Linked DNA regions of Oryzias latipes. The protein of the gene in region 1 interacts with the protein of each later gene in a pairwise test. Links are inferred from orthologs where the notes say so. Each region holds a gene or a part of one and is shown in the gene's direction. Other genes may lie near its edges. The genes, in order: tex11, ing3 and snx7.

Region 1 (10,691 bases):
CTAGATGACCCAACTCCCAATGTTAAAGTGCCTAGGATAGCTCAAGGGTTACATGTTAAATGTTCAGTCAGCCTTGCAGTCTCTGTTGTTATGAGACATGTACTACTTAATTTTTGCTTGGGATGGGTTCCGAACCGGAACTAACATGTGCCATGTTGCTGCCGGTATCATGTAAAAACATGGTTTGTGGTGATTTGTGGTGGGCTCTAGATGAAAACGAGTGACACTTGATATGTATCGCGATACATATCGTATTGTGAGACACGTATCGTGATATGCATCGTATCGCCATACTCTTCCCAATACACACCCCTACTAAAAAGCATGCATGCAAAAATATTAACATTAGTAAGTATTTCACATTTGCATGAAACACATTCTAAATATAAGATGTATAATATTAGAGGGTCTAAAAAAATGGTTGAACACTATATGCCTTTTATATTGATCACCATTAAAAACCATGAATATTCTTTTAAACTTCTGATAATTTTATGAAACCCTGTCACAATGGTGTAAAAATATTGATGGTTGTGTTTTGAGTCCTGACATGACAATATATGCCTTAAATTTAATTTACTTTTTATTTATTTATCCCACAATGGGGAAATTGAATTGGAAATAAAGTCCCACTCCGAACATCTTTTGATCTATTGTAAAAGCGTTCCCAGGGGTCTTTCAAGTATGATTATGCTGTTTTTAGCCAAAACAAAAAAACTGTTGTTTTCAAAAACATAGTTTCAGTAAAACGGCAGCTCATCAGAAATTTGCCTCTGATTTGTGGGCGGGACTGTTGGCACAGAGCAAGGCCCCCACTTCCTATCGCCCATCTGTTTACGTACCCTCCCGCTAGCATATAGCTCACACCCCCAACCTAACATTACCAGTGCAACAAAAATGGCACGGAATATTGGAGCTATCCAGCCGTACAGTTTTGATTCAGATACCAGCTCACACGCGGAAAAAAAAGACATTAATTTAAATTTTATTTATTCAGCATATTAACCACAGGGCACGCCCATTTATGTTCAAAGTTAGCATATTTATATAGTAAAACATACAATAAAACACATTCAAGTTCTTGTTACTTAAGAAGACAAAAAATGTATATTAGACACAAGAAAAGTCCACCAACATCACATATTTCATTGTATTTAAATTAAGGGATCTTTTTGTCTGCAAATAGATGCATCAGAATGGAGTGGAGCAGGGAGCTTGTTGCCCTCTGATTGTAACTAAGTGACAACTATGAGCTTTTTACAATTACACTTTTTTCGTTTGCTCCTGATTCACAATGATTAAAACAAAGAAATACTCAGAAATGCAGTTTTAAGTTTATTTTCTTTATGTATGTCTTACATCTTGAAAGAAATGCCACAAGAACATGTTAAAAACACCAAAAACAGGTATTTCATCAAAGTGAGTCTTTAAGGTTCTGCTTTTTTGTTTCCTTGTGGATTATTTCATGCTTTATGTTCAATGCTATGTTCTGTTTTTAACTAATTTCACAAAAATCCAGTTTTGTGTTTTAAAAACCCATGTCGGTTCACTTTTTCAGCTTCTATTTCATCACAAAGACGTCCTCCAGTTCTGCCAGGGGAACCCCAAGGTGCTCCCAGGCCAGCCGAGAGACACAGTCTTCAACTCGGTGGGACACGCTCTGAATACCTAGAGAGGCGCCCAGGAGGCAAATGAGTTAACTGAGCCATCTCAACTAGTTTCTCTCAGTGTGGAAGGGAAGTGACTCTACCCCAAGCTCCACACAAGTGACCAAACTCCTCACTTTATCTCCAAAGGAACATCAAGTAAGAAAACTATTTTTAGCTGCTAGTTTTCGAGACGTTTTGCCTTTCGGTCCTGACCTCTGTGTCACATCAGTTTTCAATAACATTCCTTTTCAGTTTTAGTTAATTGAACCTCAGTGTGTTTAAGACCATATTTCTATTTTCTTCCTGCAAGACTTTTTTGTCCTTTTTAAGGCATTAAAAGGTGGATCAGCCAGTGTGCTTCAGATTAAAGTCAAACAGATGGAGAACATTTCTCTTCAGGATTTGTTGGTAGACACTGGAAGCTGTGGTTCCACAGCAAGTCTTCCTGGTTCACCACTGTAACATGTTTGTTTTCTCACGTGCTGTGTTACTTTTACACCAAATGTTGTAGACAAATGTATTTTTTAGAAAAGATTGACTTTAATCTAATCAGTCCTTAGATTATTTACTCAAAGATAGCAGGGTCTTTTGACATCTCTTGAATAAGTTACTGCACTCTTGTGGTAATTTGTTCAACAGGCCACTCTGGAGATGGATCACAACTGTTCTTGTGTTTTCCTTGTTTGAGGAGATTTGCTCTCAATAAAGTGTCAAAGCTTCAGAAATGGCTTAATCATCAATGTTTTTGAGCAAGTGGTCCCAAAGACTGTTTTAATTTTTTCCTGAGTATCTCTGGATTGCAACACAACGGCAAACGTTTGAACCTTCAGTTCATGCTGGTCTTAAACATTATTTTCTTGATTATTTTTTTTGTGTATGGGTGTGTTTGTGTATGAGTTTTTGTCTTTGAGTGGAAAGAAAAAACTATCAAAATAAAAGCCCTTCCATGTTATTTCTTACATTGTATTTATTTTGTTATTTATTTACATTAAACGCTAATTTAAGAATACTTATATATAAAAAATTAATCATCTAGCCAGAATATAAGAAAGCAAATATTACCTACACTATGATGGCTACTTTTTTCTACCTTGTATATCTTACCTGATATTTGCTTTCTTGTAACATAGATTTTATTTATCAATTGAACTAGCACATAACATCAAAAAAGAAAAATAGTAATAATAACATATCCTTTTTTAAACCCTTTTAACATATAGCCTAGTAGTCAATAGGCCTAAATCAGGAGTCTGAATCTGAGGCTCCAAATCCAAATGTGGCTCTTTGTCCCTACATTATGGCTTTTTGGCTTTGAAAAAATTCTAATAATTTGCGTAAATAATGGTTTTGTCGTAGTCAGGATTATTTTGAGTTAATTACGTTTTGTCATTTATTTTTAGATTTTTAAAATGTCAGGTAACTGAGCATCATGACAGTAAAAGGTTTAATCTATTGTGTGTGGTTAAAGAGAAGAAACGCCTAGGAAGTGCATGGAGGAACATTTGTAGAAGTTTATATTTACATTATATAGATTTGTTTTGCCTGGTTTAATATTTGAGAGTAAAAGGAAAAAAAATGAAGGCCCACCAAAATCATAATAATAGAAAATGTTATATTGGATTTATCTTTCTATCTTTTTAAATTTAAGTAAATCTCCTGTAGCAAAGGATCCTATTTGACACAGGGTGTGTTTTATTTTGAAAGGATCTTGTCAAAAGTAAATAAAGTTACAATTAATAAATGCAGAAAAACATAACACTGTTATAGTTAAATTACTGTAAATATTTGAAAACTACATAAATAAATTCTATTTTCTAATTGATAAAGTGAGCTTTTGCGGCTCTAAATGGATTTTGGTCCGCATTTACAGTCAATGGTCACAGAAACTTGCCCAAAAGGCTCTTTTAATGTTAAAGTTTGTCCGCAGACAGGAAGTAGCATTAACTGACCTCACATAGTACGAACTCCGTGGCGTCAACGTCCGCCTCGTTTTCGCGGGCATTTTCGGGCGATTGTAAATTCTCCTTTGGTGAGACATCTCCTCCAGACAATCCCGCTTATGGAAGCTTTCGAAATGGAAGAATTTATTTCGACTGTGAAATGTGAGTATAAGTCGGTTCAACTACATTACACGGCTAATTACAGATACAAACCATAAATAATTGTAACTGCGTCATCAGCAGGGGTAGGGGGTAATCAATGAGTTATATCGCGATATAACTGGGGCTAACCTAGCTAAACCATCTGCTAGGCCATGTACTATTTTGTCAAGCTAGTTTAATGAAATGAATTAAGCACATAAATCCTACCTTAGCTTTAGCCTTTGTCCGAGTGAAAAAAATGTTTGCTTTATTTTTTAAACAAATTAATTATATTTTTTCTTTCTTTAAAACTACCTTAAAAAAACATGCAGACTGCCATAAATAATATTATATAAATGTTGGGTTTATTCAGAGAAAAATCTATACAGAAATCATGAGAGCAATTTTAAAGTTAACGAAGAGAATCTTGAAGCTGTTTTTATGACAGACAGACATGCTTGGTTTTATTTTTGTTGTGGAACAATGGCTGGCAAGACTTTTAGGGTATAAATAAAGTTTATTATTTTGAATTGGTTAACAAAATTATCATTTTACTCTTTAAAACGGGAGCATTATGCCTCAGGGGGCTGGAGGGTCTGTTTCTGTTACCCACACATTTATGCATATATATGTGTGTGTATATAATATATATATATATATATATATATATATATTATTTTTTTTTGCTCAATCCTGGATAAATACGATAAAGAACATTTGGCAGAAATCAATATTTTGGAAATTGTTAAGAAAAAAGGGCAAGTAATTTTTTTCACTGTCCAGCTTGATTTGAAAAAAACAAAAATAGAACAAACTAAAAACAAATGTCTCTAGTTATTAAAAAAAGTGTGATTTGAGGCTTTGCAGCAACAAAAATAACTTAGAAGTGTACATAACAGTTACCATTATGCTTTGACTGTGAACTTCACTCACAGAATTCTTTTTAACACCCACTTTTAAAAGTGTGGAGGGTGTAATTTGCATCAGCTTCATATACAACAACTTGCCGCCTCACAGATCTTAAAAGCATAAGAGAACAAGCATATGCCAGAACCCTTTTCTGCTATGGCAAACTAGAAGTTACTGTCAAGGGGAGCAGTTATTGGATGTGTCACATATATTTATTGAACATCTTTTACTCTTAGTGTGTCTATTCATTTCAAACGTTCTGCTTTTTCACAGGTCTCACAGAAAACTTACAGCAGAAAGATCTAACAGATTGCGATGAGGTTATAGAGAAGCTTTTCTCTGAAGTCTCAGGCTTAGATTCCTTTCTCAAAATACCAGATCCTCAGGTAATTTATCAATCGTTTTAGATTGTACTATTTTTAATATAGTCTATAGTCCTGGACAGATATGTACAGAAGAGGATTAGGGCCATGGAGAAAGAAAAAAAAAAAGGGCATAGAAAATTCTGACTTTAATCTCAGAATTCTGACTTTATATGTTCATGTGGAGCTAAACATTTTTTCCCCCTATCCCAACATATCTTGAACCTGCAACTTCGAAATTATTTTATAGCTTAACTACTTTTTAGTAGTTTTAGTAGTAAAACTGAATGCTTAAGTCTAATAATATAAGTTATTGGCATGTTTTTAGTGTCTTGTTTTACTGGTACAGATTCAGGAGTGTGCCGTCCAGTTGTGGAACTGGGCTGTTACCAAGAATGTGGGAAACGCCATAACTGCAATCCAAAAAGCTAAAGGTATTCTTCCAATTGCAGTCTGTATAGTTTTTAAATGTTTACCTTTCTTGATTTTCTAAAACACAAACCTAATTATGGGGATTACAGGCAAGGTTAATGCCTCATTTAATATTTTTTATCATCATCAGTTCGCCATGTTGCATGCAACCTGCTGTACTGCTTTGAGTCTGACAGTCCAACAGAGGGCGCCTTTCGAAAACAAATCTTGGTAAGTAATTCTGGAGGTTTTCCTTTTTATAGCCTGGCATTTCAGGAGGATAAGGCCTGTGTGTTGATATCTTATCCTTCCAGATGGCCAGCAAAGCAGGGAGAGCCTGGCTGAACTGCAAAAACTTTCAGATGGCAGATCACTTTCTGAGACTTGCCGTCAAGGTGAGAAAGAAACGTTGGATAAAATCTGGAAATGTTTTTAGCTGAAAGGAGAAGGATGGAATTATTTTATTCTTTTACAAATGATCCAACATGGTATATTCCTAGAGCTTGGAAACCCTTTACCGCCAGCTAACGTCCAGAGCCAATGACGAACCTGACATCTTGTCATCCAAGGCAGATGTGGAGAAGGACCTTCTTCGGATCCTGTCGTGCCAGGCTGAGTCGGTGAGCAGTGCTGCATGTGATGTTCAACACCTTAAATGTGAATATTTGTTCTTGTGATATTTTGCAGCTTGGGAGGTGCTGTTCTGACAGACTTGCAGTGTGAAGTGTAAGACAGTAAAATTGTGACTGAGAAACAATGAAGGGGGGGTTCTGAAATAGCTAATTGAGAGAAGTTCATTTCCCTTCATTTAATACACAATCTGATCTTTGTTACAGGCTATCGCTCAAGGGAACAACCAAGAAGCCATAGTGTTCATCGAGCGATGCAAAGACATACTGCTGCGGCTGCCAAATGAAGTAAAACACAGCTACCTTACTGTTCTCTTACATTCAAAGCACATGTTGTTGAAAGTGAGGGGGGTGTTAAGTGTGAGCTTTCATCACAGACGGCGTACCTCTCAGTTGTCTGTTACAACTTTGGAATCGAGGCATACAATCTGACAAAGTTTGAAGACAGTGCATTTTGGCTGAGGTAGTAGATTTATTAATGTGGTTTGATAAAAAGTAATAAAATAAAAAAATCCAGGGTAAAAATGCATCTCTTCCTCCTTGTTTGTTTTTGTAGCCAAAGCTATGACATTGGAAAAGCAAACATGAAATATGGTCCAGGATCAGAAGCTCTGGTAAGACCCCGTAAGACAGAATGAATAGAGTTAGCAGCAGGAATGCTAATCTTTGAGAACAAGTCATTAAAAAGAAAAAGAAAATATTTACAATGTCACTCATAAACAGGCCAAAGTTTTGCGGCTGCTCGCCACGTGTTATTTAGAGTGGGACTGTGAGAAGTTTCAGGAAAAGGCTCTAAATACTGTCAGCTTAGCAAACAAGGTGGGACGTGAGGCAATATTACGTCAAATATTTATTGTAAAAGGATGAAGAGTGATTATTCCTATGGTGGTGTTTGGCAGGAGTGTGTGACCCCGTTTGGACTTTACTTAAAGATCAGAATTCTCCTCAGATGCAGAGCCCCAGACAGCCCTGTCAGAGCAGGTCAGTCATAATCTGACTGCCGTCAGTGATGTGCTACAAAAATAAACACAAATAGAAATAGAATAGAAAGAAATAATGAGTCTGATATTGGTGGTCACAAAGCTTGTACCACTTAGATTGGATGCTTCCTAGTGTGTCATTTGAATCTTTGAGTGACAGACAGATAAGGTTGCATCACAAACCTGTGTTTTCAGGTCTTAATGAGATGCTGGAATCTAAAGTTTCTCTTGACATGTGTCTGAACACAGTGAGACTGCTCATGTCTGAAAACAGGTGAGGAAGTTAAAAACAAAACAGAAAACTGATTGCAGATTTAACTTTATTTGCTTGTTTGAAATAATAATGCATCCTAAACGGATGAGGACATTTATTCTGCACCTCTGAAAATGCATCTTTTGTGATTATTCTAGAGAAGTGCTGGCATTTGAGTATTTGAAAACTGTGTGTCAGCACTTCGAGTCATCTCCTAGTCTGGGAACTGCTCTTGTCTTGCACATTGAGCTGCTGCTGCAAAGAGGCAAGGTGCTGCTGAGCAGACAGAAGATAGAGGATGTCATTACCGGTACTTCACTTCTACCCTTAACGTTTCTTACAGCTTTTTTTAGAGTAGTAATCCATGAAATGTTTGTTTTTTTGATGATTTTCCTTTCTGATCAGGACACTATACCGGTAAACAGCTGGCACCAGAGGCACTCACAAGTCTGCACATCATACTGTGGGATCAGGCATCCAAACACTACGAGGTTCATCAGTAGCCTGGTTTTCCCTCTATCATTTTGACTGTTACTGACTTTAGAAGTCAATTTATTTAATCTTTTTGATTTTTACAGGATGACAATTATTCTGAAGCTCTCCAGTGGTATGACTACTCTCTTAGCTTCTTTAAGGCGGGTCAGATGGACCAGAACTTATCCAAACTGCAGAGGAACAGAGCATCTTGCTTTCTAAAACTGAAGCAGTTGGAAAAGGTGAGACTGTCTGGACAGAAGGAAAAATCTGTGATCAAACCTCTCTCCCGAAGACTCCAGTAGGTGTTGCTTGTCCAAATTCAAATGAACCTTTTCCCTCCATAGCTATTAGTGCAGGTGGCACCGTGGTGCAGTGGTTAGCGCTTTCGCCTCACAGCAATTAGGCCCTGGTTCAAATTCCAACTAGGACCTTTCTGTGTGGAGCTTGCATGCTTTCCCCATGCATGTATGGATTTTCTCCAGACCCTCCAGCTTCCTCCCTCAGGTTAATTGTGCATCACAACTGTGTGGCCCTGCAACAGAACAACAGGATGTACTCCGTCCTCATCCAACAGTAGCCAGGACAGGCTCCAGCATCACCATGACCTCAAAAGACATGAGGATAGATCGCAGGCCAGCAAAGACAAATAACCCAAAAAATAAATATGTATTTCTAAAAAATCCATCAGCCAATCAAAAACTAAGAAGTACGGGACTTGATTGACATGCAGAACGGCCAATCGGACATCCTACGAAATATACGTCACTGCACATGCGTGTTTAAATTAACTGAGCGCAAATTCTGTCTGCCTCATTACCCGCGGCACGTCAACTCCCCTGCAGAAGACCACTCCGGACAACTGGAGTGTTCATTGAAGCCCGGGCCACCCTGTGTCCTCCTGCTATCGGCTCCTCAGTTCCCGCCCGATAAATACGAGCTCAGTAAGGAAGCAGTGTTTTCCGTGGCACGCGCTTCGTACAGAGCCAGCAGCGCCTTTGCAATGCCATGCTCTCCGCATTACATAGTTTACAACAGAGAATGACGTACGATAGTCGCTGCTTTGTGTTTTTGTAATAAAACGCCTCATCTGTTAATACAAAAATTTTTCTGTGTAATCTTAGTGTGGTGTTTTTTATTATCAGTCCATAAACAACAATGTACAAATAAACATGTAACTAACAAACATGTACTAATAGTATATATAGATATAGATAGATCTTCAAGACATTTTTGACTCAAAAGTGGCTGACATGCCAAAAAAGTGAGCACCCTGCTGTAGATTTTGTGTAACCCTTGTGCTATCTTAGATGACCCCCCCCTTACTTTGACGTGTTCTCCCTACCATGACAAAGGTGGATAAAGGTGGAAAGATTTCATGTAATCCATGGACACCAGTGAAGATCACAAATCATTGAAGAAAAAAGGTTCAGAGCACTGTCTAGTGGGTCTAGATGACCCCACTCCCAATGTTAAAGTGCCTAGGATAGCACAAGGGTTACATTGAAGTCAAAAAAATGGCACACAAACCAAAGTGTAGATAAATTATCCTTTGTTTATTTGAAGCAAAGCACTGGAAGAATGTCATCTATATCCTCCAGTAGTGAACAAAGAAAACAAAAAGTTGTCCATTAGATCAAATCAAATTGAACAGTTTGACTTTCACACAGCTTAAATTATATTTGAGCACAAAATAAAACAGTGCCTAGGATAGCACAAGGGTTAAGCAAATAGTGTCATGCATTTTGTGGATTTGGAGATGGTTAACATTCTGAGCTCTCATTCTATTGAAAGGCATTATAGGACAAATATGGTCTGAAAGTCTGTTGAGCCTGTTGTCCATCTACAATCAGGATCACTTGACTGGTGTCAATGTCTTCATTGAAATTTGCTTTTTAGGCTAAAGAAGCAGCCAAAGAGGCAGAAAGAAGTGACCCTGACAGCATATTCACTCAATTCATTGTTTACAAGATAGCTGTGCAAGAGAGCAATGCAGAGAAAGGTACGCTCAGAACTGACTGATGCAATGCATGTCCTGCCGAGTTCTGGATTGATGCCAGCGTTGCAGTTTCACTGCTATTGCATTGTCAATGGGGTTTCTGTGTTTCTGTGTCTTCATCAGCTGCTGAAGCCTTGAGTGCGATGGCGTTGCTGTCCAAGAATCCAGTATTCAGTGAGGACAGACTGCTGGCATCCCAGACTGCAGCTTCTAACCTTCTCAGTTTGGCTGCTCAGATTGCTCTGGAGGTAGAACCCATCACCAAACATCGCTTTTAAAAATGAGCACATTTTCCACACTTGTAGTATTTTGATGATGATATGTTGCCTCATAAGTGCTACTTGCAGCTTGGTCACAGGGAAATTAACACAAATGCAAGTGTTGGCGAGTGGAAAGATGGTGAAACATCTTGTCTTTGTCACTTAGATCATGTTGCATTTCAAGGATAATCTCCTTTAAACCGTCAAAGGCTGAACAGAAACAGAACTGGATTGTTTTGTTTTCTTCTGCACACTTGTCAGAAAACATGGTTGCACATCTATCTGTTCTTCTGCTGCGTGCTTGTAAAGAACTTGTGTGTGGAAGAGAATGTTTGTTCCCTCTAGCAGAATGGACAGCAGGAAACTGCCATCAAAGCGCTGGAGGTTTTGTGTGAAAACTCCAAAGAGGAAGTTCAGGTTCTGATTGCTCTGAGGTTTGTGCCAACAGCAGTGCAACTTCTAAACATCATGTCACATATCATGAATATGTTGTTATTGACATATAAACTCAATGTAAACAAAGCACTTCTGTTCATGTTCTACATGAAATATATATGTATATATATACATATATTATTTTTACAGTGTTTCTTTGCAGTTCTTTGGAATTTATTTAAAGACTCACTACAGAGAAAATTGTGTTTGTGGTATTTTTAATACGTTTTAGTTGGATTTTGAAGGATA
Region 2 (10,691 bases), on another chromosome or scaffold:
GATGGCTCTATTAAGGCCCAGAATCTCATCAGCAGGTCATAGGATGCAAATCTAAATAAATACAATTCAGATATAATCATTTAAATATTATATCAGTGTATACTATGATATTACTTGGAAGCATTTCAAATATACAACTCTGTTAGCCTTCCTCTCTCCCTCTCTCTCTCACACACACACAACTATATCTGTTGTTGCAAAAGTAACGTTACTACAGAACAATCTGATATCTTACCTTGTGAAAAAACGTATGTCCTTGTCTGAGGCAGCAAAACGATGAATTCCAAAGCGCTGATTCATTGTCAGCTTCTCGACGTGTTCCCTCAGCTTGAGAATCTCATCTCTGAGAGACATGTTGTCATCAAGGGCTAAATCAACAACTGCAGGATCTGAAGCCGAAGCGTAGTCGTGGTCCATAGGGATATCAGCTTTCTCGCCTGCGTCGCCGTCATCCTCCGTCATCGGAGGCGGACGCTCTCTCCTCTCCCACACCCCCGGTCGTGAAGTGGGAAGGGTGAAATTGTTCCACTCAAACAGTGCTGGGACAGCTCCCTTGTTTAATAGCCGCCTCCCCGTCTCTGATAAGGGCTCACGAACATCATCCTTGTTAAAATGTCGGCTACATACTCGGGTATGGGGAGTAACTGTGAATTTGTCCCTCCGGATAGCTACAAGCCATTTTCGCCTGATTTCCGCGTCAGATGGAAATGTATGAAAACTAAGTAAACTGTTGTACTTGCTCGAAGCTTGACACAGAGGCACACAGCAATGCTCGGCTGTACTATAGATTGTTCGCTGAAATTTGAACGTTTTCTTACTAGTCATATTGTAGTTGCTGTTATATCGCTTTGTAAACAATCGCCTCAGCGCGAGCGGAAATGGCTTAGCAGGCTGAGATTTTAGCGGAAGTACGTCATAACCTCCGTGTGCATATAGCCTATTAATTTGACTTTAGCATCAGTAGTCTTACTCGACGCAGACGGCTTTGCAGGATGGCTAACGTTAGCAGGTTTGCTAACAGAGCCAACACTCGCTAGCGATTTCTTGAGTTCCATCTTTCTCTTCTCGGCTTTGCTCATATTGCTTTGAGAACTATGCAAAAAGTATAAAGAAATTGGAAAGAAGTAAAAAAAAAATCAAGAAAGGGTCTTTGCTCACCGTGTATTATTACAAAAAACAGTTAGGTTTGCAGAGCTCAGCCAAACACGACTGTTCAGAGCGCCATCTTGGTCACCCCCCCCAGCTAATGTTTTTAGCCTGATAGCCACGTGGAGCGGTCGCCTGTGCTTATCTCAGTAAAAATGCATGGATGCACAATGCACATGGAGAGTGTTAAGAGATCAGGTTTATTTATTTTGAATAGTTCCACATGATAATAATGTTTCATGAGTTCATGAGATCATCCCAGAGAGCCTCTGCTTCAGCTCCTGCAGTCAAACTACGTCTTATATTACGTGTAAATCAGAGAGCCCAGGCAGCGCAAGAGTTTATGTGTGAGCGCAAGTTAAGGGTCTGTTGCCCAGTTCCACGGAAAAGTAGTAAAAAATTGTTTCCTCCAAAGTACAGAACCTGATTCTTGGAGTAAGCCCTGGCTGCAGAATTGCTCAATCTCCGCTGCGTTTTCCAACCACGGTCAGAAACGTCATCGCAGGAAAGGTTCAACATTTCCCCGGGAGGGAAAAATAAAATCAGAGGACCTGATTATAATCATTGTCTCAATGAAAATAGAAACATATCATAAGGTTCAGGAGGGCTGAGCAGGCTTGTCCCGCTTTGCGCAGCTGCCTGGTCTGAGTCTGTCGGTCCGCCAGCTCACCTCCTGCCAGCCGACATCAGGCATGATGTGAGCTCTGAGTGAATGGCGTAAGAATGAGGAGTGTTGCAACGGGGGACTTGTAGACGTGGACGACCGGAGCTCCTCTGTGGTTTGGTCCACACAAACCCTCAAACTACAAAAACAGAGTCTTCCATGTTTGCTGCAGCAGACAGATTGTTTGACTCTATTTGATCTCTAATGTCAGCAAAGCCGTGCAGATATCACTAAAACATGTCATCTCTCTGACTGGCACACCGCTGTGCGGGTATCGAGGAATATGAGTCGATTTCCATGGATCAGCCAATGAGCGTTTAGATCCCGCCCACTTTCACTGACAGACAGACTCATTCTCCTGAAAAAGCTCTTCATTAAATAAATCAGCCATTGTGAAAAACAGCAACATGAATTAAAAACAAAGCTATTTTGGAAAATGTTGATTTTGATATACGAGATTCTGAAAAAAGACAGAATTATAATAATATTCCACATGATTAAAAATGAATATTTGAAAATGCTGTTTTAAAATAATGAACAGGTTTTTAAAGCAAAATGAAATATATTGAATAATACAATGGCTAATTTAAAATCTGTGTGCAGGTTTTTCACCATTTCATGATCTTTTTATATATTTATGAGAGATTTATTGGTTGATTGTGTATTTGCATGAGGTCACATTTATTTATTTAATTAAATATTTATTTATTTAATTATGAACAGTATAGGACTCCGTAGAATGCCGCTTCCTACCACTTGGTGACAGTGAGGTATGCGCCAATGGAGCCTCGGCCAAATAAGTTAATTGGTCAGCCTCGGGCCGGGTCGGGCTTTAATACCCGCGGGTGGGGTCGGGCTGGATTTTTTAAGCCCCATCTTACCTAGTGTGTGTGTGTGTGTGTGTGTGTGTGGGTGTGGGGTGTGTGGGTGTGGGGTGTGTGTTTGGGGGGCACGAGCGTCACTGATTGCTGACGCACCACGTCTCGCGCTGCTGCAGTTTCCCGGGCAAACGCTAGGATATCCGATTGATAGTAAGACGTACTAATGTTCTCTCTGTTAATAACGTTAACTGTATAACGATCTATTTTGGTCAAAAGTTAATGAAAGAGTAACTTAAACATATTATAACAACCCTGAATTAAATCACGACTGCAGGTGGCCTGCGTCCCTCTCGTTCTGTCAGTTGCTGGACTAGAGGTAAGATCGGGACTAATACAGAGTTTAAAAAAGAGCCTTTGGACAGCCGCAAGACCACGTTCTTTCTTGGACTCCAACTTGTCTTGGTGTCTTACCGCAGACTGATGGCACAATGTCCGTTTTATTTGTGTTAAAACTGTCGAAGATTTTTATTTTCTGTCCTCTGACTGGCAGCACAGTGCCGTTGACATTTTAGTCTGGTAATTGTTCTCTGATGCTACTTTTTATAGAATAAATGGGAGATCCTGATTACAAGAGTGAAGAAAGCAGTTGCAGATACATGGAGAAGTTTTTAAAACGAAAAAATGAAGTACAAAGTTATGCCAGTCCCCCTTCAAAGGCGAAATTTATACGAAAATACAACCCTGATTTTATAAAGTTCGGCTTTGTGAACGGAGGCAGTGAGGCAGAGCCCAGTGTGTTGAGTGTGGGCTAACATTATCCAATGAAGCACTAAAACCGTCAAAATTAAAGCACCATCTGGAAACCAAACATCCGAAGCTCATTGGAAAGCCAGTGGATTATTTCAAAAGAAAGGATGATGGGCTTCAGATGCAGAGGGGGTCCATCGTGTCACTGACTGGCGACGCTAAGTGTGCGTTAAAGGCCAGCTACCTCGTAGCCAGACGTGTGGCGCAGAGTAAGAAAGCGTTCACCATAGCGGAGGAACTGGTTCTGCCTGCCGCTGTGGACATGTGCCGTGAGATGATTGGTGAGGCTGCAGCAAAGAAGCTCAAGACCATCCCGCTGTCGAATGACATTGTGAGTCACCATATTGCTGACAGGGCCTCAGACATTGAGCAGCAGCTTCTGGGGAGAATAAGACAGAGCCCCTTTTTCTCTTTGCAGCTGGACCAGTCGACTGACGTCACAAATGCTGCGCTGCTGTTGGTTTTTGTTCGCTACCGGTGGGATAGCTCTTTGCAAGAAGACATTCTGTTTTGTGGAGAATTTCCAACTCGAGCTACAGCTGAGGAATGTTTCCGCTGCATGGATAACTACTTCACTGAGAATGGCCTTGACTGGCAGAACGGTGTTGGAGTGTGCTGTGATGGCGCAGCGTCAATGACTGGCAGGCATCGCGGTGTCATCAAGCAGATACTTGATCTTGCGCCAGAAGCTAAATGGACCCATTGTTTTCTCCACCGTGAAAACCTTGCAGCAAAAAAAATGTCTCCAGAGTTCCATGAGGTGATGGATGTCACTGTGAAAACCATCAACTTCATTCAAAGTAATGCTGTGAACTCCAGATGTTTTGCTCAACTTTGTGAGGGCATGGAAGCAGATCATGTCCAAGGCAAGGCAAGGCAAGTTTATTTGTATAGCACAATTCGTACACAAAGTAATTCAAGGTGCTTCACAAAACAGAAAAATGCATTAAAATCACAATACATCATAGAAATAATCAACATAAAATTTACTTTAAAAGAAAAGGAAGAAAAAAAAAAGATTTAAAAAGAAAGGAAGGAAAGAAAGGTGCAGATAGGCAAAACATAGATCGGTGATTTCCTTATGAAGTGATTTTTGGTTTATAGCAGCGTTTCTGTCCTGATATTTTCATCACAGACAAACAGACCCGTTGCTTAAGGTCTCAGCAGCTAAATAATCTCAGGCCAAGCCCACCTTCTGTTTATAATATTAGCGAAAATCTTAAGTAAAACATCTTTATTTGGTGCAAAGTCCAAAAGTATGCAAGTTAAACTACTATTCCCATGATGCATTTCCTTTAACAACAGGAAAAACCGCGCCCTCATTGTTGAACCAATCCGAAAGCCGCGTACGTCACGCAGGCGCAGTCTGACCTCATTTTTTTTCCAGTGTTTTTGTCAGCGAGGCAGCGCCATATTGGAAGAAGCCGTTTCTGTCCTAAAACGGCCAAAGCGCGAACTTTGCCACCATGCTGTACCTAGAAGATTACCTTGAGAGTGAGTACCGGACCGGGGCGTCGCGGCGGTACCGACTTCGGCCCGTTATGTGTGCACAGTGTGTGTCTATGTGTGGCCGCCGCGTGCATTTCCGTTAGCCTAGCTGCAGCGGATGCTAACGTGTTTTTCCTTTTCCGGCAGTGATCGAGCAGCTTCCCATGGACCTCCGCGATAGGTTCACGGAAATGCGGGAGATGGACCTGCAGGTGCAGAGTACGTATTTCCGCCAACCACCGGGCTCGGCTGGGACATCTGCCGCGGCACGGAGACTCGAACCGCCAGCGAGCGGTTAAAAAAGGCCAGATTACCGGAGCTAACACACCTGACATGTCCGTGAACCCGGTGACACCTCAGTCACGTCAACGGAACTTATCAACCTTTCAGCTCGTTTAATAATTCACTAAGTGAGGTTTTGTAGAGCTGCGTGCGCCACTTTACGCATATGTGGCTGAGATTCTGAAGCCCCTCCCCTTTTTGTCAGGCGGTCATGGTGATCAAAGCACATCCCTTCATTATCCGCCGCCTTTCATGTTGACGTCATGACCGCAGCTGCTGTTCAAACTTTTATCACATCAGTATTTGTTAGTTGAGGCACATTCAGTCACTCATTTATCGTTATCCTGATATCAAGCTGTGATAAATGTAACTTTAAATGTGCTCAAACAATCTTATGGCAGCTTGAAGGATTTAAGGAATCACATAAATCCATTAATGCATTTGACCAACCAGATGGAGCCCTTTGATGTAGGGGGGGGGGGGGGGGCATTCGGAGTGTAATTTAACGTACACTTTAAATTTAATTGAAGCTGTTGCAGTGAAATGGAAATGATCTATTTAGATAGTTTGCTATATGCATCACAACTTATATGGTCATTGCAATATTCATCAGTAATGTTGGAAATGGCGAGTTTTGCTCATCTCGTGCAGCCCTAGTTCAGTTGTAAAGTCCTCCAGGGTCATCTGTGACCCCTAGCTGTTGGAGGGTCAGAGTTAGGTGGACTGACCCCCCCCCCCCCAGTCTCAGATCTGACCTCTGATGCAGTTGCAGGTGGAAGAACTTTGGAGACAGTAAGAGAGTTCTTCTAGGTTCCTGTCTGATCCAGAACCAGCACCAGAAAGCTGATGTCATGTGCTTTAGTTCTTTCCCGCCTCTTTGTTTCAGACGCCACAGACCAGCTGGAGCAGAGGGTCATTGATTTCTTCATCAATGCAAAGAAGAACAAACCTGAGTGGAGAGAGGAGCAAATGGAGGTTATCAAGAAGGTCTGGAATCTGCTGCTGGTTCTGGAGGAACCCGAAGGAACCTGTCAGATCTAGATTCTGTTTCTGGTGTGTTTCAGGATTATTACAAGGCCCTGGAGGACGCAGATGAGAAAGTACAGCTGGCCAATCAGATTTATGATCTGGTGAGTGGAACCGTCTGCCGCTCTGACCGGATGGTCTCTGACCTCCTGCACAGTGACGGTCCAGCTGGGTTTGCCGGATCGCCTGGAGGTTCCACCGTAGCAGGACGGAGTTCCCTGACAGTTTTGTCTGTCCCTAACACCACTGGGGAGGAGCTTTCCTCCCTCATCACCAACAGACGCCCCGCAGCAGCTGGACCGGGTCTACCTGCTGCACCGCGTCCAGAAGCTCATGTGACCTGTTGTCTCCTCTGCCTCCAGGTGGACCGGCACCTGCGGAAACTGGACCAGGAGCTGGCCAAGTTCAAAATGGAGCTGGAGGCAGACAATGCCGGCATCACAGAGATCCTGGAGAGACGTGAGTTCGATTCCAGAGCGACTCGTTGGGGCTGAAAGGCAGAGCGGTGACCTTGTGCTCTTCTCAGGGTCACTGGAGATGGACAGTCCCTCCCAGCCGGTCAACAACCATCACATGCACTCGCACATAACAGCCGAGAGTAAGCTGCTGCACGCCCTCAGCTCCGCCTCGTGATGTCAGGACCTCTGCAGCAGGTTCACGTGTCACCGTGTCCTCTGTCCACAGAGAGGAAGTGCAGCGCCCCCGCCCACCACACGGTGGAGCACATTCCTGAGAAGAAGTTCAAGTCTGAGGCTCTGCTGTCTACACTCACCTCGGATCCGTCCAAGGAGAACACGCCAGGTAGCATCTGCAGATAACAGCCATGCAGCTGGAGGGCGGAGCCTCCACGCAGCTAACTGCCCCCCCCCCCTCCTGCCCCCTAGGTTGCCGCACCAACAGCATGTCTGCATCCACCAACAGCGCCTACAGCCTCAACTCCTCTCAGCCCCTGGCTTCCTACAACCTGAGCGCTCTGCCCGCAGGACCCGGGGCCGGCGCCGGCGCCATCACCTTGGCGGCGGCGCAGGCCGTACAGGCCACAGCCCAGGTCAGAACCCGACCCCCATCCTAAAATCGTGCATGTCGGCCCCGCTGGTGGCGCTCCATCCCCCGTCTGTTCCGTCCCATCAGATGAAGGAAGGCCGCCGGACCTCCAGCCTCAAAGCCAGCTACGAGGCCATCAAGAACAACGACTTCCAGCTGGGCCGAGAGTTCTCCGTGTCCCGGGACGGCTCCTACTCCTCCTCCGCCCTGGCCTCCACCCTCACCCAGACGCTCACTCCCAGCACCACCTCTGACTCCAGAGGTCGGAAGTCAAAGTAAGTTACCCCCGTCCCACCGCAGGTGTCTCGGACCCGTCTGACCTCTAGTCCCTGTTTTCCAGGAGCAACATCAAGTCTTCCAGTCACCAGTCCTCCTCTTCCTCCTCCTCCTCCCTGTCCTCCTGCTCCTCCTCCTCGGCACTGGCTCAGGAGCTCTCTCAGCAGGCGTCGGCGCTGCCGGAAGCTGAGGCTAACAGCCAAGTGGACTGGACCTACGACCCCAACGAGCCCCGGTACTGCATCTGCAACCAGGTATGCCCGCTACCGCGCTGTGAGGTCACTTCCTGTAGGTTCCGCTGTTAACTGCTTCCTGTTGGATCTCGTCCAGGTGTCTTATGGGGAGATGGTTGGCTGTGACAACACAGATGTGAGTATGAGCTTTGGTGAGGTTCTGGAACCTGGTTGAAAGGCGGTTCTGAAGGATGTCCTCTTCCTCCTCAGTGTCCCATCGAGTGGTTCCACTATGGCTGTGTGGGCCTGACCGAGGCGCCCAAAGGGAAGTGGTACTGTCCACAGTGCACGGCCGCCATGAAGAGGAGGGGCAGCCGCCACAAATAGACACAGGAGATTAGCGGACTGCAGCAGAACCGGTCCTGAGGTTCTATCAGAGCTTGAAGCAGATGATCTATTTGATCTGAACTGTTCTTGCTTTCATCAAGCCGTCTGACCTTTGTGTGGAGGTCAGGGACGAGAGAACCCATCCGGTCCTCAGCTGTTCAGGTTCCGTTCTGGAAGCTGGTTCTCCAGATCTGCTCTGGTGTACAAATCAAACAAAAATGACCCGACTGGGTTTCCTCCACACTGCAGGAAACAGACAGGTTTCCCATCATGCTGCGTTCCTCTGCCGAATCGACATGGCAGGGGGGTGGAGCCTCAGCTGGGTGGGGGTGTGGCGCTGCAGTTTGTGCTCCTCCTGCACAGGTGGAGGATGTAAATGTGCACATGTGAGTTAGCGTGTTTGCAGTCGGTCCAATAAAGAGGAAGTTTGAAACGGTCAGTCTGTTTGACAGAAGGTTCTCATGTGAGTGACGGACATCTGGAGAACACCACGTCTGGAGAACACCAGGGGCCTCATTTATAAAACTTTGCGTAGGATTTGCGTCAGAAGTGGCGTACGGATGAAACATAGGACGTGCGTACGCACAGAAATATTGGGATTTATAAAACCGTGCGCACACACATCCTACGCATCTTTCCCTTAATAAATCACAACCAATTCTAAATGCAGCGCAGCTTTTGCGGCTTCATGACACGCCCATAGTTGCCCATAAATAGTCCGTGAAACGCCCACAAATTAATATTCATTGATTGCGGAACCATGGCAAACACAGAGAGGAAATGAAAAAAACGTAATTTCACTCAATGTGAAGTAGAAGTTATCGTTGGCGAGGTGGAAAAGAGGAGAAAAGTGTTGTTTGGAGGGCACAGTGTGGGCATTACTAATGCCAAAAAGCCACGTGAGCGGCAGACGGCGGCAGACGCCGTAAATGCTGTAGCCTCACAACCTCGGACCATTGTTAAATAAAAAAGAAATGGTCGGACATCAAAGTCGAGGCTTATAAACTTCTAGCGCTCCATCGGGAGGAGGGCACCGGAGCGCCAGATGCACCGGGTGACACGCGTAGTTCCTCCGAGTGCTCCTCTGCCCAAAAGCCCGCAGAGGTCCAAGAGGACGGCTGGAGGAAGTGGGAACCGGCTCATAAGCCACTCGTCCTCGTTTGCCAGCAAGTCTTCTTGTCTAAAGATGCGTTCACTCCGAATTCTTCCATTTGCCACATCTTCTAAGAGCGCCAGATCAGCCATTGTGCGTCATTACGCATTGTGATGGGGCATTTTATTTCCCTCTATTTAATTACATCTGACAAGCTACAGATGTCGGTAATAATCCACGTGGAAATGGGAAATTGATCAGCACAAATGTAATTTCTTGTTGCTTTCTGAATGGTTGAGACATACGCCATACATTGTTTTATCAAAAATAAAACAAACTAAAGGCATATGCATGAATACCATAATTCTGTAGCTTATGAAGAAATGTTTTACTATGAAAACAACTTTCCCCAGTGGAAAATTAGTGCATCTCTCTCTATCTATCCATCTGTCTGTCTGTCTGCACCTATATCTGCTCCTCCAGACAGACACATTGACGAGAATATCAGTTTTGTACATTATTTCGTTCTGTTAACTATATTATTTATGAGGATGAATTGCACAACATGCCAATATTGCAGAAAATATTTCACTTTTCTTTTTGGAAATAAGTGTTCATTTGAATTTCTGTTGTAATTTTCGTTTGATTTGTTTTGTTTGTTTCACTGCTGATCGATCAAACGGGTGTTGGTGTAGCTGTTAATTGTCAGACTTGCTTTGTGAAGTCTTCATGTTATTTCTGAGAGGCAGTATTGTCATTTTCATTTTCACGTGTTTCTTCCATCTGCCGACGGTGTCGCCGTTTCTCATTTCACCCGTTTTTGTGCGTACGCCTGGGTCAGAGCGTGAAGGACCGCACATTTTCCCCTCAAGTTTGCTTTTTATAAATCTCAACTATTGCGTAGAGAGTGGCGTACGCCTTCTTTTGTGCGTACGCAACCTTTAGAAATGAGGCCCCACGTCTGGAGAACACCACGTCTGGAGAACACCACGTCTGGAGAACATCGCGTCTGGAGAACATCACACCTGGAGAACACCGCTTCTGGAGAACACCACACCTGGAGAACACCGCTTCTGGAGAACACCACGTCTGGAGAACACCACATCTGGAGAACACCACGTCTGGAGAACATCGCGTCTGGAGAACATCGCGTCTGGAGAACACCACATCTGGAGAACACCGCTTCTGGAGAACATCGCGTCTGGAGAACATCACACCTTGAGAACACCACACCTGGAGAACACCACGTCTGGAGAACATCGCGTCTGGAGAACACCACATCTGGAGAACATCACAACTGGAGAACATCGCGTCTGGAGAACACCACATCTGGAGAACATCACAACTGGAGAACACCACACCTGGAGAACACCACGTCTGGAGAACACCACGTCTGGAGAACATCGCGTCTGGAGAACATCACACCTGGAGAACACCGCTTCTGGAGAACACCACGTCTGGAGAACACCACATCTGGAGAACAC
Region 3 (10,461 bases), on another chromosome or scaffold:
TCTGAGCGGGGGGAGAAGGGTGTGTCTGAGGGTATTCGGGTGTGACAGAGGGCTGATGTCCTGCAGCCCCTCCCAGAGAAGTTTGTGATGAAAGGCATGGTGGAGCGCTTCAACGACGACTTCATTGAGACCCGGAGAAAAGCTCTGCAGCGCTTTCTCAGCAGGATTTCAGAGCATCCTGTCCTGTCTCACAGCCAGCACTTCAAAGTCTTCCTCACTGCACAGGTAACCCGTCATCCTGTTGATTGAAGGGTTCTGATTCTGTCCTCGTTGGGCCCAAAAGTCTTTGCAGTTTGAGCTGCAACTAACAAACCAAAGCAAGTCTTTGTCTGCTGCTTTGCTTTATCCTGATGCTAAGTGTTATTAACTCAGACATTCTTTTGCAGATCTGAATGACGTACACTTGTATGGCGCTTTTCCGCTTTTCTACCTTCTTAGAAAGCCCAAAGTGCTTTATAGTCACTGTCCCATTCACACACTGAAGGCGCGGCGCCACTGCCGAACACCGGCGCCAACCTATGACTACAGGGAGCAATGTGGGGTTCAGTGTCTTGCCCAAGGACACTTAGACGCAAGGGCAGGCAGGTTGGCCGCTCAACCCCTGTACATCAGCTGGTCTACTTTACATTCTAGTAACTCCTCCAGAGCCAGAAGCTACGCTCCTGTGAGGGGAGGAACCGAATCTCCTCCAGCTGTGTGGATGAGGAGGCAGGAACTCCATGATCAGTCTGACCTTACAGGGCTCCAGACTAACTTTTTTCACTAGGAGCACTGTGGCCCCCAACTGAAAATTTTAGGGGCACAACCAGAAAATTTAGGGGCGCATACCATAAATCAACATGCTAACCAAATCTACTAATTTCCACTGTATTACTAATAAATACTTTAATAATAGATGCAGAAATTACAATGTGCTGTTTCTAATTCAGTGTCACATTTTATTCTGCACTTTTGAAGATGCAACAACGAGGTAAACTGACAAAAGGATCACTGTCATGACAGTACAAATAGTAAACAAAATACCATACATTTAGAATAATAAAAAAAGTTTTTAGTAACAAAGTGATTACCGTAGTAACCTTTCGGTCATTTCACAGTTTCAAACAATACTTAAATGTATGTAAACATTAGGAGATGGAAATTCATCTTGGTGATACCAAATAGGTGCAGCCAAGATGCACAATAAGCGTGTTCGAGATCACCCAGGTGGACTCAACGCTGCACAGATCACCTGGTGTGAGACATACATTTTTGTTTTTGCTCCAACATCACCTGTCAATCAAAACCAAAAAATATCACTAGAAAGGGGCGGGAGCAAAGCGCCAACCTACGCGAACACAGCTGGAAATTTAGTACTGAACTGACTGAAAGTTGCCGTGATGACTACAAAACAATGCATTATGGGACATGTGTCCTGATGGGCTTTTGTAGTTCATTGATCAATTAAAATAAATTAATATGCCAACTGATTAAAAATTGGCTACATACATTACAAAAAAATAAAATAATTATAAAAGATATAAAATCACAGATCATACTAAGGGGAAGAGGCATATTAAAACTAAATTGAATTTTAAGGACAACAACTTCCTGTTTTCCTTAAGTCTCGCTGCAGCTTCGCCTTCACCCCACCCCCCCCCCCCCCCCGCCTTGGTCTCCCCAACAATCCAGACGCAGCGCTGGCTCATCTTAAACACGTCTATCGTTGCATTTTCCCCACGTGTTTTAAATGTGACTAAGACTAAATCGTGTTGTCGCTCACACGTGTTTAAAGTTCAAGCCCCGTTAGTTGTCACGCATGTAGGTGTGGGGCATGTATTCTCCTCAGCTGACCCGACTCCCGTGGAAGCGGTGTGCTGCAGTGACAGCCGTGCATGAGAACCGTGGTTTGGTTCACGAGTTTGAGACCCCTGCTGTACACTCTGGCACTGGTACACTGGCTGCAGGTCGGAAGAACGAATCAATAGTTCACTTACTCATAGCTCAGACGCACATAGCAGGTTGTGATGATTTTTATCTCCGTTTCCTTCCAACGCGCGCTCGATTATCTCTAGGCCCCGCCCCCTCCACGCATTTAGCCACTTACAGTGACTTTCCCTATTCTTCTCACACGCAGTGGCCGCCTCACAGAGAGGCATCACGCGAGTGTGCGCTCGCGTCTCATGAGTATGTATGCGAGTTTGTGCGTTTGCGTGCGTGTGTGTGCGCTCGCGTCTCTTGAGGATGTGTGCGAGTTTGTGTGGTTGCGTGTGTGTGCGCTCGTGTTTCATGAGTATGTATGCGAGTTTGTGCGTTTGCGAGTGTGTGCGCTCGCGTCTCATGAGTATGTGTGCGAGTTTGTGTGGTTGCGTGCGTGTGCGCTCGTGTCTCATTGATTATTTCATTGATCATTGACGTGCCCCTTCCATGTTTAATGAAAAAAAATACGGAGGCTGGGGGAGGCAAATTTACTGGTCGCACATGTGCGACTGGATGTAAAATTCAGTCGCACACTCTCAAATTTTGGTTGCAAAATGCGACCATTTGGTCGCAGTCTGGAGCCCTGCCTTATCCCCTCTTAGTATTGACATAAAACATGCTTCCATGCAGGTCTGCTGCTGTTCTGAGTGGATGGAGTGCCAGTTCATGTTTGCTGCTGTTAAAGCTGCCCATTACTCCATCTTTTCATCTGGCAGAGTACAGATCTGTGTGTGAAGTGTCCTGGGAACAGTCCTCAGCTGTTCTTCCCTTCACTGTCCCGGGCTTCCAAACTCTTCTCCATTAATGCTGTTTTTGACTTGTATCTGCCGCTCAAATCTAGATTCCTCAAGCATGAATGTGTGTCAAAGTCATGAACGTTCAGCAGCAGATCTTCTGTTGTGAGCGGCGATCACGCATTAAACATGAAGAACTTCCACATCCATGTAGACACGGTGCACAGTGCTTTCACACACTGTTAACCTTCTCAGCGGTTCACCTTAACCTTCTGGAGCTGTGAACGGGTTCTTCTTAAGTTAGGGAATGAAAACCGGGTTTTTGCTCAGCTCCAGCTCTAACAATCTAACAACCTTGGACAATCGACAGTTATAGACCCTTTTTACTTTCCCCTTACAGCATTACTTTATTATATAAAAAAAAATAATAATAAAAATACAAAAAAAATATTAAAAAAAGTAAAACAAATGATTAATCACTTATTGAAAATTGTTAAATTGATTGACTTTTAATGATATTACTTCACTTTCTCCAAAAATTGATAAATTGATTCAAAAATCTTTACTAATGTAGCATAACTTTGCACATGTTTTTAACTTTTGATACTTGATGAAATTTTGCTATGAAAATTCCTGAAACAGTGTTGTGTCTACTTTACTGATATAGTATTACGTTTTATTCATATGAATGACTTTTATAAGTAACATAATCTGCATATATTTCAGATGACTGATCTGCATTTGTTGATTTCTAAAATAGTTATTACTGACGTAATACTTAAGTAATTCATCTTTGTCATGTGCTTTATCGATATCTTATGATTTTTAATTCTGTCTGATAAAAACTAGGAACCGGATATTGATAAATCATGTAATAAAATGGTTATAGTATAACGGGGTGGGATTATATAAGTTTGCTTCCTTCCACTCCCTTTCAAGCAATATTTATTAATATGTCTAATTATCCTAAGTTTGATTAGTTACTGTATGAATGTATGACTGATGATTATATTGCTGTTGTGTATTATTGTACTTAATTGCTTGAAATAAACCATTTCAAATCAAATCAAAAATCAACATGAAGAGCTTTGCTGCTGTGATCCTGCAGGACCTGGCGCCACACAAGAAGCAGGGTTCAGGTTTCCTCAGCAGGATGGGGGAGACGATGAGGGCCGTGGCCAACTCTGTCCGCGGCGTGAAGGACAGACCGGAGGAGTTCGAGGTCCTGCAGGACTACGTGGAGAACTTCAGCAGCAAGATCTCCTCTGTGGACAAAGTCACCCAAAGGATCATCAAGGAACAGAGAGGTTTGTTAGGACTAGCCATTTCTGGGGTTTTCAGTTGTTTTGTCTGAAGGATGAGGAAGATCTTCAGAGAATTGGTTTTAACGGCTTTGTTCTTCAAGCAGCAGCTGTCCTGGAAAGACAAGACTAACGTGAAAACATCCTCTTTACCTTGGTAGCTGTGAATCCGTGCGTGGCAACAGAAACTAATGTGTCTAGAGCTGTGACGGTGTGGGACTTTTGATCACCGCGGTGATGATCCAGCATGGGGCGTGGTTAACGGGCGGCGCACTCAAGAACGCACACAGCTTGTAATAGAAATGAATCATTAGAACGCAGTAAATTTGTCGTATTTCCCCGCGAGACAGAAACTTCTGTTGTAGAATGAGGATGCGTGTGTGCTGCTGAAACCCCGCGTGTGTGTGAGTAGAGGGAGAAGAGGGAGCGCACGCAGCGCATGAGGAAGGTGAAGGTGAAGGAGAACAGTAATAAAAGGTTTCCCCCAGAAACCCTTGAAGTTTGAGCACGGGACTATCAGAAAAAGGAAACTATCAGCAAAGATGACTGTGTTTAATGTGTTTATAGTTCCAATCACGCACCAAATGCAGAACTTTAAAAAGAAAAGCGTGCGGTGATGAGGTCATCGTCACACCCCTATCTGTGTCCAGACTCGTCTTTCACATAAAAACTGCTACAACCAATTATTTCCTGGTGGACATCGGCTGACTTCTTCCGCTCTGAAGTGGGTCAGCTGCAGTGTTTCCTGCTGGGTGGAACAGAGAAGCAGCAGAAACCAAAGCCCCTCCTGTGGAAAAGATGACTCTGGCTTGTTGTGGGCTCCGTCAAAGACTGTGTTCTGTGTGTCCGAACCTTCAGGCAGAAGCTAAGCTTGTGGCTGCAGCCTCACAAGAGGAGGCTTGGATCAGAAATGAGTGGAACTTTCCAGCAGTGATCACTTTGGGGGTCAGGGCCAATCCAATGAACCGATCCCGCCTTCCAGTCCGCCTCTAAAGAGTTTTGTTTTCCAGAGTACCTGGATGAGTTGAGGCAGTACAGCTCCACCTACGCCCAGTGGGCGGGGTCGGAGGAAAACCTGTCTGAGCCGCTGAAGGGCGTGGCCAGCTGCGCGGAGCGGTGCTGTAAGGAAACAGAGGAGCGGATCCAGCACTTGTCTGAGGTCCTGGTCCCAGCGCTGCACGAATACGTCCTGTGTGCAGAAACCCTGAAGGTGCACCGCCGCGCATCCCAGCATTCCCTGCAGAAACACACTTCTGGCTGTAAATTCTAAGGTTTTGAATAGTTAAAGTACCATTAGCTGTCACACATTTGATCCCTCCCCTGGGGGAGCAGTGAGCTACAGACACAGCCGCGCTCAGGAAGCATTTGGTGGATTAACCCCCCCAATCCAACCCCTTAATGCTGAGTGTCCAGGGAGGCATTGCATCCCATTTTTAGAGTCTTTGGCCTGGATTTGAACATTGACCTTCCGGTCACAGGCCGGACACTCTACCACAAGGCCACTGAGCTGGCCTTAGAATAGAACCAGCAGTTGGTGCTTTTGATTCCAAACACTTTTTTCCCCATCAAAACTTAACTTGATAATTTATTAATTATTTATCATTTATTATTGTATTTAGTCAGTAAAGAATGGAAAATCACTGGAAAGTGTTTTAAAGAAGGTTTGAGTGGATCAGGGTCTCACACAGAGAAACGTGTGACAGGATGTGGGACGTGTTTTAACGACTGTTGTGTGTTTGCTCAGGCCGTGATGAGGAGGAGGGACAACATTCAGGCTGAGTTTGAAGCGAAGAGCGACGCCTTGGCGTCCAGAAGAAGTGATCTGGATGCGGTAAGTGTGACCTTGTCTCCTTCGTGTAGCTCTCGTCTGCTGGTGAGGTGAAGCAGGGGGCTCCATCGATGGGGGGCTACAATCCGGCAGTGTCGCCCTGAAGGTGGCGCTGTGGGTTTTTCAAAGATTCTTCAGAGACGAGGGGAAAGTCCTCAGCGTGACCCCAAAGGTTTCTTGTTTTTGTCTGTTTGAGGGGTTTTTCCCTGTGGAGAGACTGTATCAGATTCAGACTTTCTGTGCACTTAGCTTTAGCTCCTCCCCCACATGGGGGCAGCAGTTTGTTCTTTAGCTAGGGTTGTGCCGATGGACGATACCATCTTCCATCGTGATGGGTGACTGACCTCACGATGGAGAGACACCATGGTGATGCCACGCCCCCCGCCACACTGCGAGTCGACACCAAACACTCCAAGGATGAAGGAATGGAGGCGGGGTCCAAATACGCCCAAATTTACTGTTGGAGGAGTAAAGATTAACAGAAATATGTGGCAATTTTTACCAGAACCAGTCAGCCTTCAAAAAGAAAACACCATCTGATGCGTCACGTGTGAAATGACTACACACTATATCCTTATTGTCAATTCAACTAAACAAGTCTGTTTTACTTATGTTTAATAATAAAGTAAATGATATTTTCGTCCAGGGCATCAAACCGACCAGGACCGTCTTTGCAGACAGTACGTGTTGAATGAGAAGAGAAGAACGAGTGAAAACTTTACAAACCAGGGAAATGATGGCGTCCACTGGAAACGCCGTTTTTTTTGAGTTTTTTTGTTCTCATTTCTGTGGGAAACTGATCCAAACGGCTCTTTGACTGTTAAGGTTGCAGAGACTCGGAGCCCAGTCTTTCTGCTTCCTGAAATCTCCTCATCCTCAAAGCACCTCCTCGTGTTTGATTGACAGCCAGAGAAAGGGACGATGATGGCAGGAACAGAGCAGGGATGCATGAAGACTTGTTTTGGAGGGGGCTGTGCGCTCAGGAAGTCTGCTCTGCTTCCAGCTGCAGGACGAGGTGGATGAGCTGGCAGACCGCATGGACAAGTCCAACAGCGCCTTACATGTGGACTGGAGCCGCTGGAGGAACGCCATGAGAACGGACCTGAAGGCGGCCTTCACCTCTACTGCAGAGAAGAACGTGGAGTATTACGAGAAGGTGACTTGATGAAGGCTTCCTTTTTTCTTTTTCTTTCACCTTTATTTAACCAGGATAAAAACACTCATTGAGATTAAAAATCTCTTTTGCAAGAGCGTCCTGGCCAAGAGGCAGCAGCACAACAATAACACACAACCCTTATATACACTCACACTCAATCATAAAAGACAGTTTTAAATAAAGCATTTACAGTTTGAAAGCTTTGTCTCACGTTCCTTTAAAAGTTTTTTAAAAGAGCCCCGGGAGATCAAATCTTTCAATTCTAATTCTAGCAGATGTAACACAAAACGGTGAAAGCCACGCTATGCTGGATAGAAGACCACAGAATCCCGGTTGCATGGTCCTGCTGTTGAAATGAGTCTGCAGGTTTCATCCAGCAGGGGGCAGCAGTACAACAGCTGTGAGAACCACAGGATGCAGAAAGTGGTACCTGGAACAGGAACTTTTAGGAAACCTCCAAGGTTTAGGTGACCTGAAACGAATCTGTCAGGCTGAAAAGTAACTGGATGTTTATTTGTCTACATTTTCTGACAAAGGTGTTAGAATACTGTTGCAGTGGGACCCTGTCCGGGTCTTCCTGTGCCCTGAAAATCCAGCTTTGTGTCAGGAAGGGCATCTGGCGTAAGAATCTCTGCCAAACCCCCCGTGAAAATCTGATTGGCTATGGCGACCCTGAAGGGATGAACAGGGGCGATCTGATGTCAAGCAGACGTCATGGCTTCTGATCCGGTGCAGATGGAGGTTCTGCTTCAGATTAGGTCCACATGGGTCACAGCCACCGGACTGGAAGGATGGAACCGGGTCTGAGCGCTCCTGCTCGGATCTGTCTTCCCGCCCTTCCTTCCAGAGCTCGCTCTGCCTCAGCTGCCTCAACCCCCCCAGTCCACAGCCTTTCATGGACGTGCAGGGAGGGGGGGCCTTTCGCACGGTGTGGCTGCCTCCTCCAGATCACTGCTTCCTGCAGTGAATGTGGATCTGCTTGGTCAAGTCTGCAGCTCCTCAGATAATGAGGGGAGATGAAGACATGAGGCAGGTCCCTCTGGGGGGGCACGGGTCCCTCGGGGGGGGGGGGGGGGGGACCTACCACCAGCAGTCTGTGGGTCTGCTCTGATCTGACCTTTGACATGCAGCAGGTCACATTGCTGGTGGTGCTGAACCTGGATTCAGGTGATGGTTGTCAGTCAGAGTGGGATCTTCTGCCCTCAACTATCAGAGACACCAGTTTGGTTGGACAGTTTCAGTCCTTCCTCCACTAATGACTCTTCCTCTGTTTCAGTGCCTGGCGGTGTGGGAGTCCTTCCTGGTGTCTCAGAGGGGGGAGTCCATCAGTCAGAGGGACTGAGGAGATGCTGCTGGACCTGTGAGGACCTCCGTCTGTCCTCAGGACCGCTGACCGTTGTCCAACTCCTTCATTCAAAGAGTTGGGTCCACTCTGATCATTCCAGACACCTCCAGCCCTCCCCCATGGGTCAGACCCCCGCCTGCTGCTGTTTCTCTGTCTCAGCCTCCAACGTTCAGCCTGAAAAGGATGCAGGAATCTCAAGTAGTTCATGATGGACCTTGACAGAACCAGCTTTAGGAGTGACTGGCAGAACCAAAGACGCCTCTGTTTGGACCTTTTCTCTTGGATTTGTGCTCATTCTTCATTCTTCTGTCACCCTGCAAACTTTCCAGATCGTCTTCGTCTGGTGTGAGACACCAGGCTCTGCTTCTAATGTCCTCCTTCATCACATCCTCTGACGTGAGGCAGATGCTGCTGTTCAGCTTCCAAAGGGACTTCTATGAAACCGGGCTGACCCCCCCCCCCCCCCCTCGTTCTTTACAGTCTGCTTTCACTCTTGGAAGATCTTTGAGATTTTTTTGTTGAGTAAATAAATAAAAAGCACAGAGCAGAGATGTGTTTCCTTGTACGTGTGGTCATGCATTCAGCAGAAATCCTCTGGAGACTCTGAACCTGTTCTGGAGCACGGACCTTCACCGTCTGCAGGGAAGAAGAGGCAGAATTCAGGGAAACGTTCAAGTTGAAGAAACGGCTCAGGAAAGGTGAAAACCTGCAGAAATGCAGCCGCTGGCTCCCATCATTCCTCTGCTGCTGCTGGAAGTCTGATGGTTCTGACAAACCACCTGCAGCTCTGTCCCACCGCTCAGAGGGGGGGGCCTCCACCCCACCTTTGGTTTGGAGACCTGTACCCAGAATGCCCCCCCCCAGGCAGCTTCTCCACACATGTAATCACATTCAATATTAACAAGCTGCTTTAAATAAAGCCAGGCTAGAAAAGTAGGTCTTCACAGCCCGTTTCAGAGGGGAATACATGAGGGGGGAGGCTGATGAACGGGGGGGAGGGGAACAAACACTTCCTGCACAGATGAGGAGGGGGAGGAAGAGGAGCACGCTGCAGCAGCAAAAAAAAAAAAAAAAGCTGTGCAACGTTGGTGCACAGCTTTTTCAGGTCTGTCCTCATTTGGGTTTAGGACAGTGGTCTGGCTGGGCCCAGTCTGGAGCAGCAGAGTGGTTCTGAAGCCACTCCTTATGTTAGTGGTGTGCTTTGGGTGTTTGTCTTGCTGGAAGGTGAACAACTTCCCAGCTAGAAGTTGGCTTAGAAGAACTGGTGCTGCCTTCAAGGCCAAAGGTGTCACACCAGCGACCTGCAGTCAGGGAGGCAGGTGTGGCTGTGCCTCACCTGCAAAATGCAGCTTAATAAAAAACAGAAATCAAATAAATATACATATTTTTATGATAAAAAAAAATCAAATGATATTTTTTAGACATGTATATTCTATAATTACTTTTCTGTTTTTTGTCAACATTTCTTTGGTAAAAAAGTAGTGAATTTATGAATTTCCTGTTCAAATCCAAGAGAAATGGCAGGTGAGGTACTGACTGTCACCACACACACACTGAGCTGTCGCTGACGCATGCGCTTCACTGTTTCTGTCTTTCTATCGTCATAAAATACGCCTTATTGGTTCAATGCTATACATCCCTCAACCCACTGTTTTACTGTTTGTCTTTCTTTATTCTAGTATCTTCCACCATTTTTTGCTGCTTATCTCCGTCTACAATGTTTCATCTATTTGAACCATTCAACTATTCAAATGTTCAGCTCTTTCAGCTTTTGAGACTGTGACTTTTGGTCCTTCAAATCCTTAAGCCTTTCAAGATATTTTCAGATATTCCAGGATTTTTTCCTCCATTGAAATCCATGGGGAATCCTTGAAGCAGAAGCTCGCTGGTTTGATACCCGGCTCTGGCATTTTTTACAAACATATCTTTATCGTTATTCTGCTGTTTTCGCTTTCTTTATGGTCAACTTTGATAACTTCTTTATTTGTTCAACCCTGCATTTTCTTCTGGAATTGCAGCTCCTTCTAGTTTTTGATTACTTCAATTTGAATCACTTCACTCATTCAGTCTTTTTTTATTTGCTAAAAATGTGCATTAGACCTTGTGCTATCCTATGGGGTCCAGATGACCCCACCCTT

What was found.
Region 2: the proteins of tex11 (region 1) and ing3 interact in a two-hybrid assay, tested with the Homo sapiens proteins (2 studies listed by BioGRID). The two-hybrid records come from large-scale screens. The link is inferred for Oryzias latipes from reciprocal best matches to the Homo sapiens genes TEX11 and ING3.
Region 3: the proteins of tex11 (region 1) and snx7 interact in binary tests that used the Homo sapiens proteins (3 or more experiments, as listed by UniProt). The two-hybrid records come from large-scale screens. The link is inferred for Oryzias latipes from reciprocal best matches to the Homo sapiens genes TEX11 and SNX7.

The regions. Positions count from the first base shown.
Region 1 is NC_019868.2:11,383,150-11,393,840, reverse strand, and holds the start of tex11 (testis-expressed protein 11), read left to right. Parts: upstream 1-3,590; 5' UTR 3,591-3,708; coding exon 3,709-3,751; intron 3,752-4,912; coding exon 4,913-5,025; intron 5,026-5,350; coding exon 5,351-5,435; intron 5,436-5,563; coding exon 5,564-5,643; intron 5,644-5,726; coding exon 5,727-5,807; intron 5,808-5,912; coding exon 5,913-6,032; intron 6,033-6,248; coding exon 6,249-6,329; intron 6,330-6,418; coding exon 6,419-6,504; intron 6,505-6,597; coding exon 6,598-6,655; intron 6,656-6,764; coding exon 6,765-6,860; intron 6,861-6,940; coding exon 6,941-7,022; intron 7,023-7,216; coding exon 7,217-7,295; intron 7,296-7,432; coding exon 7,433-7,584; intron 7,585-7,679; coding exon 7,680-7,765; intron 7,766-7,852; coding exon 7,853-7,990; intron 7,991-9,647; coding exon 9,648-9,750; intron 9,751-9,870; coding exon 9,871-9,995; intron 9,996-10,352; coding exon 10,353-10,441; intron 10,442-10,691. UniProt on the Homo sapiens protein: Regulator of crossing-over during meiosis. Involved in initiation and/or maintenance of chromosome synapsis and formation of crossovers.
Region 2 is NC_019881.2:24,129,605-24,140,295, forward strand, and holds ing3 (inhibitor of growth protein 3), read left to right. Parts: upstream 1-4,812; 5' UTR 4,813-4,904; coding exon 4,905-4,932; exon of another isoform or gene 4,933-4,989; coding exon of another isoform or gene 4,990-4,990; intron 4,991-5,073; coding exon 5,074-5,145; intron 5,146-6,094; coding exon 6,095-6,195; intron 6,196-6,272; coding exon 6,273-6,338; intron 6,339-6,596; coding exon 6,597-6,693; intron 6,694-6,760; coding exon 6,761-6,832; intron 6,833-6,918; coding exon 6,919-7,035; intron 7,036-7,118; coding exon 7,119-7,282; intron 7,283-7,365; coding exon 7,366-7,553; intron 7,554-7,618; coding exon 7,619-7,808; intron 7,809-7,884; coding exon 7,885-7,923; intron 7,924-7,997; coding exon 7,998-8,114; 3' UTR 8,115-8,553; downstream 8,554-10,691. Other genes in the region: uncharacterized protein LOC111946928, read right to left, coding at 1-51, 236-825; uncharacterized protein LOC111946929, read right to left, coding at 10,075-10,504, 10,569-10,632. UniProt on the Homo sapiens protein: Component of the NuA4 histone acetyltransferase (HAT) complex which is involved in transcriptional activation of select genes principally by acetylation of nucleosomal histones H4 and H2A.
Region 3 is NC_019878.2:926,645-937,105, forward strand, and holds the end of snx7 (sorting nexin-7), read left to right. Parts: intron 1-66; coding exon 67-225; intron 226-3,801; coding exon 3,802-4,000; intron 4,001-5,004; coding exon 5,005-5,204; intron 5,205-5,738; coding exon 5,739-5,825; intron 5,826-6,825; coding exon 6,826-6,978; intron 6,979-8,254; coding exon 8,255-8,320; 3' UTR 8,321-8,877; downstream 8,878-10,461. UniProt on the Homo sapiens protein: Involved in the regulation of endocytosis and in several stages of intracellular trafficking. Together with SNX4, involved in autophagosome assembly by regulating trafficking and recycling of phospholipid scramblase ATG9A.